2 linked regions of the Arabidopsis thaliana genome follow. The protein of the gene in region 1 interacts with the protein of each later gene in a pairwise test. Each region holds a gene or a part of one and is shown on either strand. Other genes may lie near its edges.

What was found.
Region 2: the proteins of AT2G29310 (region 1) and AT2G30540 interact in a two-hybrid assay, tested with the Arabidopsis thaliana proteins (one large-scale study listed by BioGRID).

The regions. Positions count from the first base shown.
Region 1 is NC_003071.7:12,585,562-12,592,926, forward strand, and holds AT2G29310 (NAD(P)-binding Rossmann-fold superfamily protein), read left to right. Parts: upstream 1-4,304; 5' UTR 4,305-4,506; coding exon 4,507-4,571; intron 4,572-4,666; coding exon of another isoform or gene 4,667-4,671; coding exon 4,672-4,879; intron 4,880-4,979; coding exon 4,980-5,196; intron 5,197-5,293; coding exon 5,294-5,400; coding exon of another isoform or gene 5,401-5,409; exon of another isoform or gene 5,410-5,507; coding exon 5,508-5,699; 3' UTR 5,700-5,918; downstream 5,919-7,365. Other genes in the region: AT2G29290 (NAD(P)-binding Rossmann-fold superfamily protein), read left to right, coding at 937-1,001, 1,096-1,303, 1,439-1,655, 1,736-1,842, 1,932-2,123; AT2G29300 (NAD(P)-binding Rossmann-fold superfamily protein), read left to right, coding at 2,653-2,717, 2,809-3,016, 3,104-3,323, 3,410-3,516, 3,620-3,778, 3,981-4,082; AT2G29320 (NAD(P)-binding Rossmann-fold superfamily protein), read left to right, coding at 6,619-6,701, 6,803-7,010, 7,098-7,317.
Region 2 is NC_003071.7:13,008,442-13,015,219, reverse strand, and holds AT2G30540 (Thioredoxin superfamily protein), read left to right. Parts: upstream 1-3,176; 5' UTR 3,177-3,652; coding exon 3,653-3,961; 3' UTR 3,962-4,115; downstream 4,116-6,778. Other genes in the region: AT2G30550 (alpha/beta-Hydrolases superfamily protein), read right to left, coding at 1-336; AT2G30530 (zinc finger CCCH domain protein), read right to left, coding at 4,353-4,601, 4,689-4,853, 5,001-5,147, 5,356-5,466, 5,560-5,742, 5,889-6,149. UniProt on the Arabidopsis thaliana protein: May only reduce GSH-thiol disulfides, but not protein disulfides.

The sequences.
Region 1 (7,365 bases):
GGGTCCATCAAAGTATGCAGATGTCACTAAGGGTTTCCATTTAGAGTAATGAGACATGAAATAGTGGGTTTTGGGTTTTGAGTATTTGGGTTTTGAGTAAGTATTCCAATATAATATATGTTCGGATAATTTTGATAGCTAAAATCATTGTCCACGGTCCCAAACGCCCACTAGTTTAGGTAAGATGGACAGCCCTAGATGTAACTATCAGGAGTTGCCCAATGTCTATCATGTAATTGTATCTTTTCTTATTTACAAAGTTGTTAGTAATCTATCTTTATATACAATTTAAAGAAGCTCTTGTTAGTTATGTGATAGATAAAGATGGATAACAGCCGATGGAGTCTTCAAGGTATGACTGCTCTTCTGACCGGTGGAGCGGGAGGAATTGGGTTTGTCTTCTTACCCCATTTTTCTACTTCTATTTGATATCCAAAATGGTCAAGAATTCAAGGAGTTTATGTTTGTGGAATGTTTTAGGCATGCCATAGTAGAGGAGCTAGCTGGTTTTGGGCCAAAGTCCATGTATCCGACATATCTGAAACACTGCTCAATCAAAGTTTAAGCGAATGGGAAAAGAAAGGATTTCAAGTGAGTGGTACAATCTGTGATGTATCCTCTCGTCCGGAGAGAGAAACACTCTGCAAACTGTCTCCTCGTTGTTTGAGGGCAAGCTCAACATTCTTGTAAGACGTTTGTGAGTGAAGTTAATGGAAATGACAATGAGCAAGTTTTGCTCAAATATTTTGACTATAAAATGTCAATTTTGGTTAGGACCACTATCTTAGATTTTTTTCATCTTCACTCGTAAGGCTACGTATTATTTCCACCACACATACAAAGATAATCACTAGATTCATACTTATCCGTTCCACATTCATTGTATATACAAAATCTGTGGCATTTCTGGTCACTTCAAGTAAGATACAAGAAAAAATGGATAAAAGATGGAGTCTTCAAGGTATGAATGCTCTTGTGACCGGTGGCACTAAAGGCATCGGGTCAGTCTCCATTTTAGATGCTCTTTTATTGCATTGTGATATTTAGTTATGGAAGAACTGACTATGTTTGTGTGTGTGTGCGTGTCATGAACAGGGAAGCTGTTGTGGAGGAACTGTCAATTTTGGGAGCAAGAGTCCACACATGTGCTAGAGACGAGACTCAGCTTCAAGAACGTTTACGTGAATGGCAAGAAAAAGGGTTTCAGGTCACCACTTCTATCTGCGACGTTTCTTTGCGTGAGCAACGAGAGAAACTCATGGAAACCGTTTCCTCTCTCTTCCAAGGAAAACTCAACATCCTCGTAAGTGTATACATATTAGCTTCTCCTCCCCGGGCTTGGGATTTACAAGAACCAAACCATGTTGTGTTTTTAATTACTTTTTTTTTTTTTGTAAAGATGTTTTTAGTTGTTGGTCTATACATATCTTATATATAGGTGAACAATGTGGGAACGTTAATGCTCAAGCCGACCACAGAGTATACAGCAGAAGAATTCTCGTTTCTTATGGCTACAAATCTCGACTCAGCTTTCCATATTTCACAGCTTGCGCACCCTTTGTTGAAAGCCTCTGGCTCAGGGAGCATTGTGCTCATGTCCTCTATTGCCGGAGTCGTGCATGTCGGTGTTGGATCCATCTATGGAGCAACAAAAGGTACTGTATATACTCTTTAAAACAATATTTCTTTACATTATGATTTATATGCAAGTGTATATAAAAGCATTTTTTTTCAGGAGCCATGAATCAGTTGGCTAGAAACTTAGCTTGCGAATGGGCAAGCGACAACATAAGGACTAACGCTATTTGTCCATGGTTAATCACAACTCCTTTGATTAGTGATGTAAGGACAATTTCCTTAGAACAACGGCGAAAAAAAAATAAAAAATAACTTTTGATTCTAACTTTTTAACTTATTTGAAAATCCCTCAGCTTCTCAGTGTTGAGGAGATGAAAAAAGAAGCAGAGGAAAGGACACCCATGGGGCGTGTGGGAGAGGCAAATGAAGTCTCACCGCTTGTGGCATTTCTTTGTCTTCCTGCAGCTTCTTATATTACTGGTCAAGTCATTTGTGTTGATGGAGGTCTCACTGTTAATGGCTTCTCCTATCAGCCACATGCTTGAGCTAGGTCTGTGTTGTGTGTATTGTCCAATGAAAACAGTAAACCAAACAATAACATCGGAAAATGAATGATTTGAATATTTAGGTTAAGCCTTAAAACTAAATTCATTTTGGTATGTTGACATATTGTAAAACGTAATGAACAAGAAACCTTAACAGAAGATGTTTCTTTTAAGAGTACACGAGCCTTGCAGAAACAGAACACAAGTTGAACTCAAATGAGAAGATGGGCTTCGACACTCATCAACTTACAATGCTCAGTTGATCAAGCACAAAGACAGAATCATGCAATGATGACTCAAAAGGACAGATGGCTTCACTGTTGAAGATTTTGACTATATGTCATTTTTTGCTTGGGACACTTCGATATTTTAGTCATGTTTTCTAACATACGACTACATAGTTTCTCAACATGCCACGTACAAACAAGACAACAAACTCATTAATTCATACTTATCTGGATTCTGATCCACATTTACTGTATACATAATTTGTGGCATTTCTGGTCACTGCTAGTAACAAGCAAGAAAAATGGATAAAAGATGGAGTCTACAAGGAATGACTGCTCTTGTAACCGGTGCAGCCAGCGGTATCGGGTTTGTTTTTTTCTGTTCTCTATATCATCTTTTGAATCATTGTTCTGCTTATGTTTCAAGGAATTTAATCTATGTCTGTGGAATGTTTTAGTTATGCCATAGTAGAGGAGTTAGCTGGTTTTGGAGCTAGAATCCATGTATGCGACATATCCGAAACTCTGCTTAATCAAAGCTTAAGAGAATGGGAAAAGAAAGGGTTTCAAGTGAGTGGTTCAGTCTGTGATGTAACCTCTCGTCCCGAGAGAGAAAAACTGATGCAAACCGTCTCTTCGCTTTTCGATGGCAAACTAAACATTCTTGTAAGTAAATGATCTTTATATAGAAACAACTAAGCATTTCTTTTAGCAAAATTTTCTAAAGAGAAATCTTCTTTTTGTTCAACATAGGTAAACAATGTGGGCGTACTTCGCGCAAAGCCAACAACAGAATATGTGGCAGACGATTTCACTTTTCATATCTCAACAAACTTGGAAGCTGCTTACCATTTTTGCCAACTTTCACATCCTCTCTTAAAGACTTCAGGCTATGGAAGCATCGTGTTCCTTTCCTCTGTTTCTGGGGTTGTGTCAATAACTGACTGTGGATCACTTTATGGTCTAACAAAAGGTAACCACAATTACTACAAATCTGACTAATCAACAAAGAGTTTTTCACTTCCTTATTTTTTAGTGGTTTGTTGACTTCTTTTGTAGGAGCTCTAAATCAGCTAGCTAGAAATTTGGCATGTGAATGGGCAAAAGACGGCATAAGAGCCAATGCGGTTGCACCTAATGTTGTCAAGACTGCTCAGTCTCAATTCGTAAGAAATAAATTTTAATTTTTTTTTTACGTTTTGGTGTTGTTGTTGTGAATTTAACAACCTCAATTCCTCTTATTATCTCTAAATTTTTGTTTCTTAAAAGTTTCTTCAAGACGTCAGTAAAAAGGAGGGATTGTTTAGTAGAACTCCACTTGGTCGGTCTGGAGAGCCGAATGAAGTAGCATCACTAGTGGTCTTCTTGTGTCTTCCTGCAGCTTCTTATATCACAGGTCAAACCATTTGTATTGATGGAGGCCTCACGGTTTACGGTTTCTCCTCTCAACCACAGGCTTGAAAATGGTCTTGTCGTTTCTTGTCTGTTTAAATATTCTCTCCCTAATAAAATCTCTCATCACGCTATGAGTTTATGTCCCTTGTACAAAAACACACAATGTCAAATTGTTGCTCTTTAGTCTTGTAAGAGAAATGAGGGACTTATCTATATGAAGGATCAATTAAACTAGTACTATTTTATTTGTTTGGTTAAACTATCCTTCTCTAATTATTGCAACTTATGTGTCTATATATGGATTAATGTCATAAGTACTAGATGGAATCAAAGATAACACTAAATAGCGTTAGTCATAGAATCATACTCACAAGAATGAGTCCTCTAAGTTCAATGGACCACTCCGAAGTCCATCATGAGAACAAGACCAATCAATAAAAATGTCCTTTTGTTATCTAAATTAGCAAGTGTACCAAATTTTGTTCACCATTCTAACTTATAATTTCAGTTTTCTTTTGTGAGTGAAGTTATTGAAAAAGAAAAATAAGAAAGTATTGGTCAAAGATTTTGACAACAACAAGTTATTTTCTTGAGGAACCACCAACTTAGATATTTTAGTCATGTTCTCTGTTATAAGTCCTACTGCTACTACATAATGTTTCCACCACACATAAAAAACAAACTCAATAATTCACACTTATCTGATCCACATTCATTGTATATAATCTTATGGCATTTCTGGTCATTTAGTCTCAAGCAAAATGGATAAGAGATGGAGTCTACAAGGTATGACTGCTCTTGTAACCGGTGCAGCCAGTGGAATCGGGTTCGTCTTAATTCTCTGTTCTCTATATCATGTTTTTGGCTCATTGTTCTTCTTGTATTTCTAAATTGTCAAGACTTAAAGGAATTTTTGTGTAGTGTAGGTATGCCATAGTAGAGGAGTTAGCAAGTTTTGGAGCTATAATCCATATATGTGACATCTCTGAAACTCTTCTCAGTCAAAGTTTAAGTGAATGGGAAAAGAAAGGGTTTCAAGTGAGTGGTTCAATCTGTGATGTAGCTTCTCGGCCCGATAGAGAAAAACTGATGCAAACCGTCTCCTCGCTGTTTGATGGCAAACTCAACATTCTTGTAAGTAAATGATCTTATAGGAAAAGGCGAAAAGCCAAGCATAGTTGTTTAAAGAGAGCTTCTTAACATAAATCTTATGGAAATGCCTAATCATATGTAGGTAAACAATGTTGGTGTAATACGTGGAAAGCCAACAACAGAATATGTGGCAGAGGATTTCTCTTACCACATCTCAACAAATTTGGAACCAGCTTTCCATTTTAGCCAGCTTTCACATCTTCTTTTAAAGGCTTCAGGATTTGGAAGCATCGTCTTTATGTCCTCTGCTACAGGGGTTGTATCAGTTCAATGTGGATCCATTTATAGTCTAACTAAAGGTAACCAAAGTTGCTACTAGAGGTAGTTCATTGCAAGACTGACTAATCAAATATGTTTTTTTTTTAAATTGCTTTTTTCTGTTGATTTATTTTACAGGAGCTTTGAACCAGTTAACTAGAAATTTAGCATGTGAATGGGCAAAAGACGGCATAAGAGCCAATGCTGTTGCACCTAATGTTGTCAAGACTCCTTTGTCTCAATCTGTAATATAAAAAAAGTCAACATTTACATTTTAGTTTTTATTTTTTATGTGAATGTAACAATCTCAATTATATTCCTCTAATTAATTCTCAATTGTGTGTTCTTGAAGTATCTCGAGGACGTCGGTTTCAAGGAGGCATTGTTCAGTAGAACTCCACTTGGTCGCGCTGGAGAGCCGAATGAAGTTGCATCACTAGTGGTCTTCTTGTGTCTACCAGCAGCTTCTTATATTACTGGTCAAACCATTTGTATTGATGGTGGTTTCACTGTTAATGCCTTCTCTTATAAGCCACAGGCTTGATAATGGCCTTGTTGTGTTTTGTCTAAATGTCTTATGCAAAACTATGCTCAATCAACTTTTGTGGGATTGGATTTTAATTGTGGTTCGGTATGTGGTTCATATCTTTGTCACGAGAGAGAAACACATGCAAATCGCCTAAATTATATGTGTGGCAAGCTCAACATTCTTTTATGTAAATCATAATTTAAAGAAACTAAGCATACAATGGGTTAAGCTGGCTTTAAGTATTTGAACAAGAAGATGTTTCTGATAACAAAGAGTAAGCCAAAAGCAGATCACAACATGCTTTAAAATCCCTATGAAATAATTGGAGAAATGTCACAAACCATCTTTATATATATAATTCAAAGGTGAACGCAAAAGCTTGATAGTTCTTTCCTTTATTGTCTGTTTCACTAAAGATATCATTACAAATTAAGTCAAGATCCATCATCTCTTACATCACTATTTGTCACACGAAAAGTATGAGAGAAACATTTTCCTATTTGCTTGCCATTATAATAAGCTTCATATAGGGAAGGAAGCAAGGAAAAAATGAGATAAAGAGAAAAGAATGAGTATTGGGGGAAGTAGTATAGTAGTAGAGAGTCGTAGAAGAGTTATCTTCTAAGGTCATTAGTGATGAAGAGTTCATAGTTAGTTTACTTTGTTCAAGGTGGATAAGCAATAGGGTTTAGGCCTTTGTTATTATCAGACTTCTACTTTTGGAAGACACTAAAAAGTTGTTATCTAGCCATAAGAAAGTTTTGGCCAAAGGTTTTGACTACAAAATGTCATTTTTGCCGGGGCCACTAACTTAGATATTTTTGTAATGTTCTCTCTTACGGCTACATAATATTTCCACCACACATACAAAAACATACTCCACACTTATCTGATCCATATTCATTGTATATATAGTTTGTGGCATTTCTGGTATATGGTCACTAGAAAAATGGACAAAAGATTATGGAGTCTTCAAGGTATGACTGCTCTTGTGACCGGTGCAGCCAGCGGAATCGGGTTCGTAGTTCTTCTCTATTCTCTTAAGTTTATGTTCTGCTTCGATATAACAACCTGAATGGTCAAGATTACATGGAATTCATATTTGTGGAATGTTTTAGTTATGCCATAGTAGAAGAGTTAGCTGGTTTTGGAGCTAAAATCCACATATGTGACATATCCAAAACTTTGCTCAATCAAAGTTTAAGCGAATGGGAAAATAAAGGGTTTCAAGTGAGTGGTTCAGTATGTGATGTAACCTCTCATCCTGAGAGAGAAAAACTGATGCAAACCGTCTCCTCGATTTTCGATGGCAAACTCAACATTCTTGTAAGTGAATGATCTTTATATAGAAACAACTAAGCAAACTCTACAAAACAAAAAGATAACTTAAGAGAGAATTTTTGTTCAACATAGGTAAATAACGTGGGGGTACTTCGCGGAAAGCCAACAACAGAATATGTGGCAGACGATTTCACTTTTCATATATCAACTAACTTGGAAGCTGCTTACCATTTTTGTCAACTTTCACATCCTCTCTTAAAGGCTTCAGGCTATGGAAGCATTGTATTCCTTTCCTCTGTTGCTGGGGTTGTATCACTAATTGACTGTGGATCCATTTATGGTCTAACAAAAGGTAAATTACTCCAAATCTGACTAATCAACAAAGAGTTTTTTACCAAAA
Region 2 (6,778 bases), 420 kb from region 1:
GTCTTCTCCTTGGATCTTACGCCACGTGTCTCTTAGTCTTCTTTCTTCTTCGGTTTTTTTATCTCGCCGGCGAATATCTTCCGCCGTCATCCATAGTTCTCCAGCTCCTTCCGCTTCCTCGATTAATAAACCTTGTCTTTCCCGCCTTTCTCGCTCGAGGCGAGAAATCACGGCGGATAAAGACGACTCGTCGGTTCTGGACAAAGCTCTCGTAGCTACTCGGAATTTGGCGGGAAAATTGATTTCTGAGAAATTGGTATTTAGGGAAGAAGAACCGGTTATGGAGTTTTTGTGGTTGATGGTAAGAAGGTTGTTGTGGGAAGGAATAGCCGCCATTGTTGAGAAGCTTCAAAAGCTTGATTTCGTAATTGGTTGACGAAGAAGCCTTTATAACACATAAAAATAGCTTAACGTGTACTTCAAGACACAAATGGTAATAAGGTAATAAATAAATTGTCATCGATTTCATACACACTTGATAGTATTTATTTTATTTGATAAGTTATAAATTATATTTATTTAGTTTTGAGTGTGTTTGGTAGTGATTGCACAATGCTTAAAGGCAATAAGCAGGCTCTAGGGATTGAGGTTAAGGATCTAATGATCTATCACGGTGATAAAAAAAAAGTAGTAGTATACACTAATTTAAGATTTTGCTTTTCAACATTAATGTACATTTTATTTTAAAATTGTAAGATCTACAAAAGTTTATAATGAAATTGTTTTTTGAGTTATGAGTCTAGATCTAAAGCAAAAACTAAGTCGTCTTTTATGTTTCTGTTTTAGTTAAGAGGATTTTTGTTTTTCATATTGAGTTAATTAGTAAAAATATCATAACATTGCTTAATTTTCACTTCAAATAACAAAGCGACGACTTTTACATTGTTATAGTATATTAAGTTTCAGAAAACTATTTATAAGATTAACTCTTATATCACCGGTAAGTGACAAGAGAATTGAATTACTCAACTTGCCGTCAAAAGGAAAAAAGAATGACTCAACTCATATAATATAAGAGTATGCTTTGGCCTTCGTGTGGAAAAGTCATGGACCAATGGCATCATGGCAACACATAACATCAGTTTTCAAGTAATATTTTCGTATACTATATTACAAATGTACAATATATATATCAAAAGTCTAATGTGAATTTGCTGTCAAAGAATACGAACTCTAATGTGAATCCATATCTAGATGCTTCTTAATAATTGAATTATAAGATTGTTGAAATATTAAAGACGTTTTTAATGGTCTTTATAAATGACCTAAAACTGCATATGAATAATTGACCCCCGACCATATATTTACAACAAAACGACAGCTCAATCTCGTCACATTATGTAATGAGAATGAGGTGTCCTTCTCTCGTCACTAGCTTACTTACTTTATGTTTCATCATTAAATATTTGGACATGTGATTTAATGAATTAATTAGTTATAAAATATAATAGAGAAAAAAATAGCGTTGGAGAACATTCAAGTCAACTTGTATTTGTTTGGTGGTTTCATCTGAAAATCCAAAATAACTCAATTTGTATTTCATTTATTTAATTGTGATATCTTACTAATTTTTGCAATCTGGTACAGATCAGAATGAATGGATCCATACTGTTTAAAATATATATATATAGATGTTTTTAGTAAGAATGATTGAATGTTATATATATAGAATCGAGTTCACGCTTTTGTGGAGATTTTCTATGGTGACATCCTAACTCACACGTATTTTATATTCTTTTCTGATTCGAAGAAGTTTTCTATGCCATTAAATATAGTTCCAAAATCAACCCATTTGCTTTTGTTAGAAATAATTTTTGCGTTATGACTTATTAAACATATATGAGATTTCTATAAGTCATTGGTATGTCACTTAGCTAGGAGGTTGCACGTTCAATTTTCTTCTCAGTTTGGTCATAGTCGTCGAGACAATGCATACCCGGCCCATTTCTTTAGACCATATCCGAAAATGAACCCTCTAAATATTCAAATTCTTGTATATTCTTAAAGCTAAACAACTCACTTCTGAAAACTGCTTAAAAGATTATTAGCTTTTGAAACATAAATATATAAATTTATCGGAGAGAAAGAGTAACTATGAATCTATGATCATGCATGGCTTATAAGGGAGTTTGTAGTAGCCATTATCGCCAGCCTGCCATTATCTTTTATGGCCACTTCTTCAAGGTTTCATCGTGTGAGTGACCATATAACCTCACTTAGCTACTAACCCTTTTTCAATCATTAATTATAATCCCTAGAAAGCTTTTTACCAAACCAAAACAAATATTTCTATATAGGGCAAGTCTCCGATCTTACGGGAAGCACTTTTTGGTGGTAATGGAAGAGGGGGTTAACATAGATATTCAGATGGTCATATATATAATTAATATAAGAATCAAGAAGATCAATTCCAAATATATGCTGAGTTTGTAACTATGTTAAGTTTCATGGATTTCTAACTCTAATCCTTATCTTTCGAGGTGATGATTGTCTTGGTCCAACTCAAATTGTTCTCATTCTATGAAGGACAACATATCTTACTTGGACCAAATAAGTTCCTTAATCTTTAAACAAAATCAATTGGCGTTAGTAAATTAATTCATGTCCTATACATATTACTCTAGGTCTAAGCTTACTTCAACTGACATGGGATCTCATAATCACTGGTTTACTTTAGTCAAGTGGTAAATGGGAAAGAATCTTGGCAAATTGTTGAAAGGGAAGTGGCACACAAGAGAAAGTAAGAAACCGATAGGAGTTATTATTCCTTCATGATCAGAAGTGAGATTGAGAGAATCTCACAAAGACAATCATATCTTGTTGTATAGTGACATGTTTCAAGAATAGGGTTTTTAATTGTTGACACACACACGATCCAATCCATCAAACCCAGCCTGATCTCTTTTTCGTGGCTGCGAAAAATACCGTCAATCAAGAGAAGAATAAGCATATCTCTCTGCTTATTCCCCACCACTTTGGGCTATCTCACACCCACACCCTTCATCTGAGCATGATTCTTGAACAAAATAATATTCTTCGAGAGAAAAAGTAAAAGCTTGGTCCACATAAATTGTAAGATTCTAATCCGATCATGCATAAAAAAGTTGCAAATACATATATAAAACATGTGCGGATGTACCATATTCTTTAGCATCTGCAACAAAGAAACATATTGTCCTGTTCAACTCAAAATGCTCACTTTGGTATCTAGGAGGAAAAAAGGGTAGGTGAATTGTGATTATGCAACTTTTGTTGGTCCTTCCTTACTAATATAATATGAATTAAAGAGGAAAACAAAATATTAACAAAGTCACTTTAATGTACTTGGGGAACCTTTAGCTAGATCTCCTGTGATCTCTCTTTTTTTGGTCTCTAACATTCTTTTCTTCTTTCTTTCTTTGCTTATAAATAGCATATGGTTCAAGAAACTCAAGTCTCAGGCAACACTGAGCTTAATACTGTAGTACACACACACACACACACACACACACACACAAAACCCTCTTTTCTTCAAACAGGAACCCCAAAAGCGAGGTTTAATCTCAGGCGTTTTCAGTTCTAAATCTCTTTCAATCCACAAGAGAAGGAAGATTTTGTTTCTTCTTCTCCAAGAAACAATCCCTAGATTGATCGAGACCTCCTTCAAGAAACCATGGACAAAGTTGTGAGAATGTCGTCAGAGAAAGGAGTGGTTATTTTCAGCAAGAGCTCGTGTTGCATGTCCTATGCGGTCCAAGTACTTTTCCAAGACCTTGGGGTTCACCCAACAGTCCATGAGATCGATAAAGACCCTGAATGTCGTGAGATCGAGAAAGCCCTAATGAGGTTAGGGTGTTCCACGCCGGTCCCAGCCATCTTTGTGGGTGGGAAGCTCATTGGTTCGACCAATGAAGTCATGTCGCTTCACTTAAGCGGCTCGCTGGTTCCGCTAGTTAAGCCGTTTCAAGCCAATCTATGTTAAAAAGGTGTTCTAATTTTCTATACTACAAAAATGTATTTCAATAAGAAACACAAATCTTATAGCCTATGCAACCTTTGTAATGTAGCTTTATATATATATTGTTTGTTCTGTAATTTCAGGTAATATCCAATAATAATTGACTAATTTCTACTCACCAGTTCAACTTTTAGCTTTCATGGTACTGTTTCAGGGAAATAATAGAACATTCTTCTTTTATTTAAGTTAATTAAGGGTAATAAATAACATTCACTGCTAATTCTTAAGACCCCACCCCAAATAAAGAGTACAGAGTATATATATTTCTACAAATACAGAGCAATTACAGGCAACGATTTGTCTTCTTGTCTGATTCACAACAAGAACAGCAGAAACTGATAGTTGTTGTGGTGTTTCATTTGAGCTCCAAGAAACTTGGATTTGGATTGTAAGAGTTATCTGATGAAGAAGACATTGAAGACACATTAATGGGATATACCTCCGTTACTTCTTCAGTCTTCTCATCAAAGTAGACCACATCTTGCATTGTTAGCTGGTGATATTCGACGACTCCTCTCAGATAGAGGTTTTCGCGGGTGTATATCGAGTTTTCATGAGCCAACCGTGCTTTCTCAGCTAACAGTGTTTCCAGTTGAAGTCGCACCTATAGATGAGAGAAAACACACAACCAAAGATCAGAAATGTACATAAAGAAATGTTAACATTAATGGCTTTGTAAAGAGTAAAATACCAGATCATCGTCATCTGTCTGACTGTCGCCACTACGGTTCTCCCTCAGAACCTTATTTTCTTCTTCCAGCTGTGCGCATCGTTGCTTCGCAAAAGCCAGATCAGACTTTACCATCTTCAGCTCCCGAAGTAAAAGCTTTGCCTTGGCAGCCATGGCCATTGCAACCTGTTGAGATTAATTCAAAGGAGGCTCAGTATCAATACTAAAAACGATTATTCTATAATCATTCACTGAAGAGATAACAGCAGCGGAAATAAGCAGATATAAATTTGCTGCTGTGAACCAATAAATGATACAGAGCAGCCACCTTACGTCGCGAGATGCCTTTAGTTGAATCTCCAAATCAGCTTGTATCTCAGGATTCTGCTGGTTCCTTGTAAGACTTGGCTTTTTTTTAATCTTTTTACGGGTTTCTTGAATGATGCCTGCAGTACGATTCTCCACAGCTGTAATACCCTCCTAAGAATAATCACAGACAAACAACAATCTCAACCCAACAAACTCTCATTTAGTACAGTGCAGAAGATGCACCGATACACACAAGAATGCATATGCCTCTGTATACACAACTAATGTGAGAACTCGCATAACCTAAAGAAAAAAACAAAACTAATATATGTCTCCTATAGTGTGCCATATACGGGTGCATAAAGAGTAAGAAACTAACCTCAACAACAGTACCAATGGTGCCACCAATGTAATTCAACGATGAAGTGATCGCATCTAATCTTCTCTGTAATGAAGGATTCTCGCTTTTCCTACCAGTCTGACCAGCTTCCTGAAACATGGAAATGGATTTCTACTCCATAAGAACGCAACCCCACAAAACAATTGGAAGAGCAAATGCAACTATAAAAACCTAGTCTTTAACCTTAGTTCCTGAAGTTGTCGCAGAAGGTATGCTCTGCTCCATTCTCTTAGGACTTTGAGGCAACTGATTAGGATCATCCTCATCCAAAAAAGCCTTAGCTTTACTAGCTAAACTTCCCCAAAAGCCTCGTTTTGGTTCATTCAAACTCTTCATAGAAGTATACTCATAAGCCTTATTCACCTCCTATTCAAACGATTCAATTGAGGCAAAAACAGAGTAAACCCATGAATCATTTGGAACATTTCAATTGAAGCAAAAACAGAGTAAACCCATGAATCATTATGAACAATTAAGCGACACCAGAAAGAGAGAAGAACAAAAGATGAAACCTTGGGAGGAGTGGGAACAGGAGCAGAAGAAGGAGACGAGTAAGCAGAAGAAAGAGAAGAGTCTCTATGCGCAGAAGATGCTCGAATTGCCTTGGCAGCGAGAGAGGACGCAGCAGATGATGAAGCCGAAGATGGAGACGGAGACGACGAAGATGAATAAGACATTCTCGTCGTCGGCGTCATCATCCTTTCCTTATCTTTCTCCGTCTCCATTTCGAGATCCTCGAATCTGAAATCCTCGATTTCGTCGACTTTGTTCATCAACTTCTGACGCTCATGCTCAATCACAGTCTCCAAATTTGGTGGGTCGATTTAGGGTTTTCCCAAAAGAGAATCCTTTTGGAATTGAATGGATCTCTCTCTGTTTCGCAAATGATGCCAAATTTTCAATTTTGGTGTCGTCAACGCTAGACAGGTGCTATCTCAAGATTCCGGTTATTGATTGAATCCTTGGTTTTCTACAAATGTGTTAAACCGGGTTTCTCCTACTATGAGATTTCATTATACCATTCAAACATGACCTCATAAAGATCTACATTCTAGTAGGGGATGTGGGCTATGTGGTGGTGGAATATTCCGGTTTGCTTGATAGATTTGGGTTTTGTTATGATCTACATTCTCACTAGTTAGTAGGGGATGTGGGCTATGGCCTATGGTGGTGGAAGAATATTCCTGTTTGATTGATAGGTTTGGTTTTGATATTTTGTAGACTTGGCGGTTTGGTTCGGTTTGTAGACCAGACGGTTTGGTCATGTTGTCTGGCATACAAATTAATGGTTTAGCTGTCAAATACAAAAAACATGATTTTATCCACAATGAATCTAGTAACAATCTACAACAACAACAAAAAGAATCTAGTACTAAAATTGGGGTCAAAATCTATTGTTAAA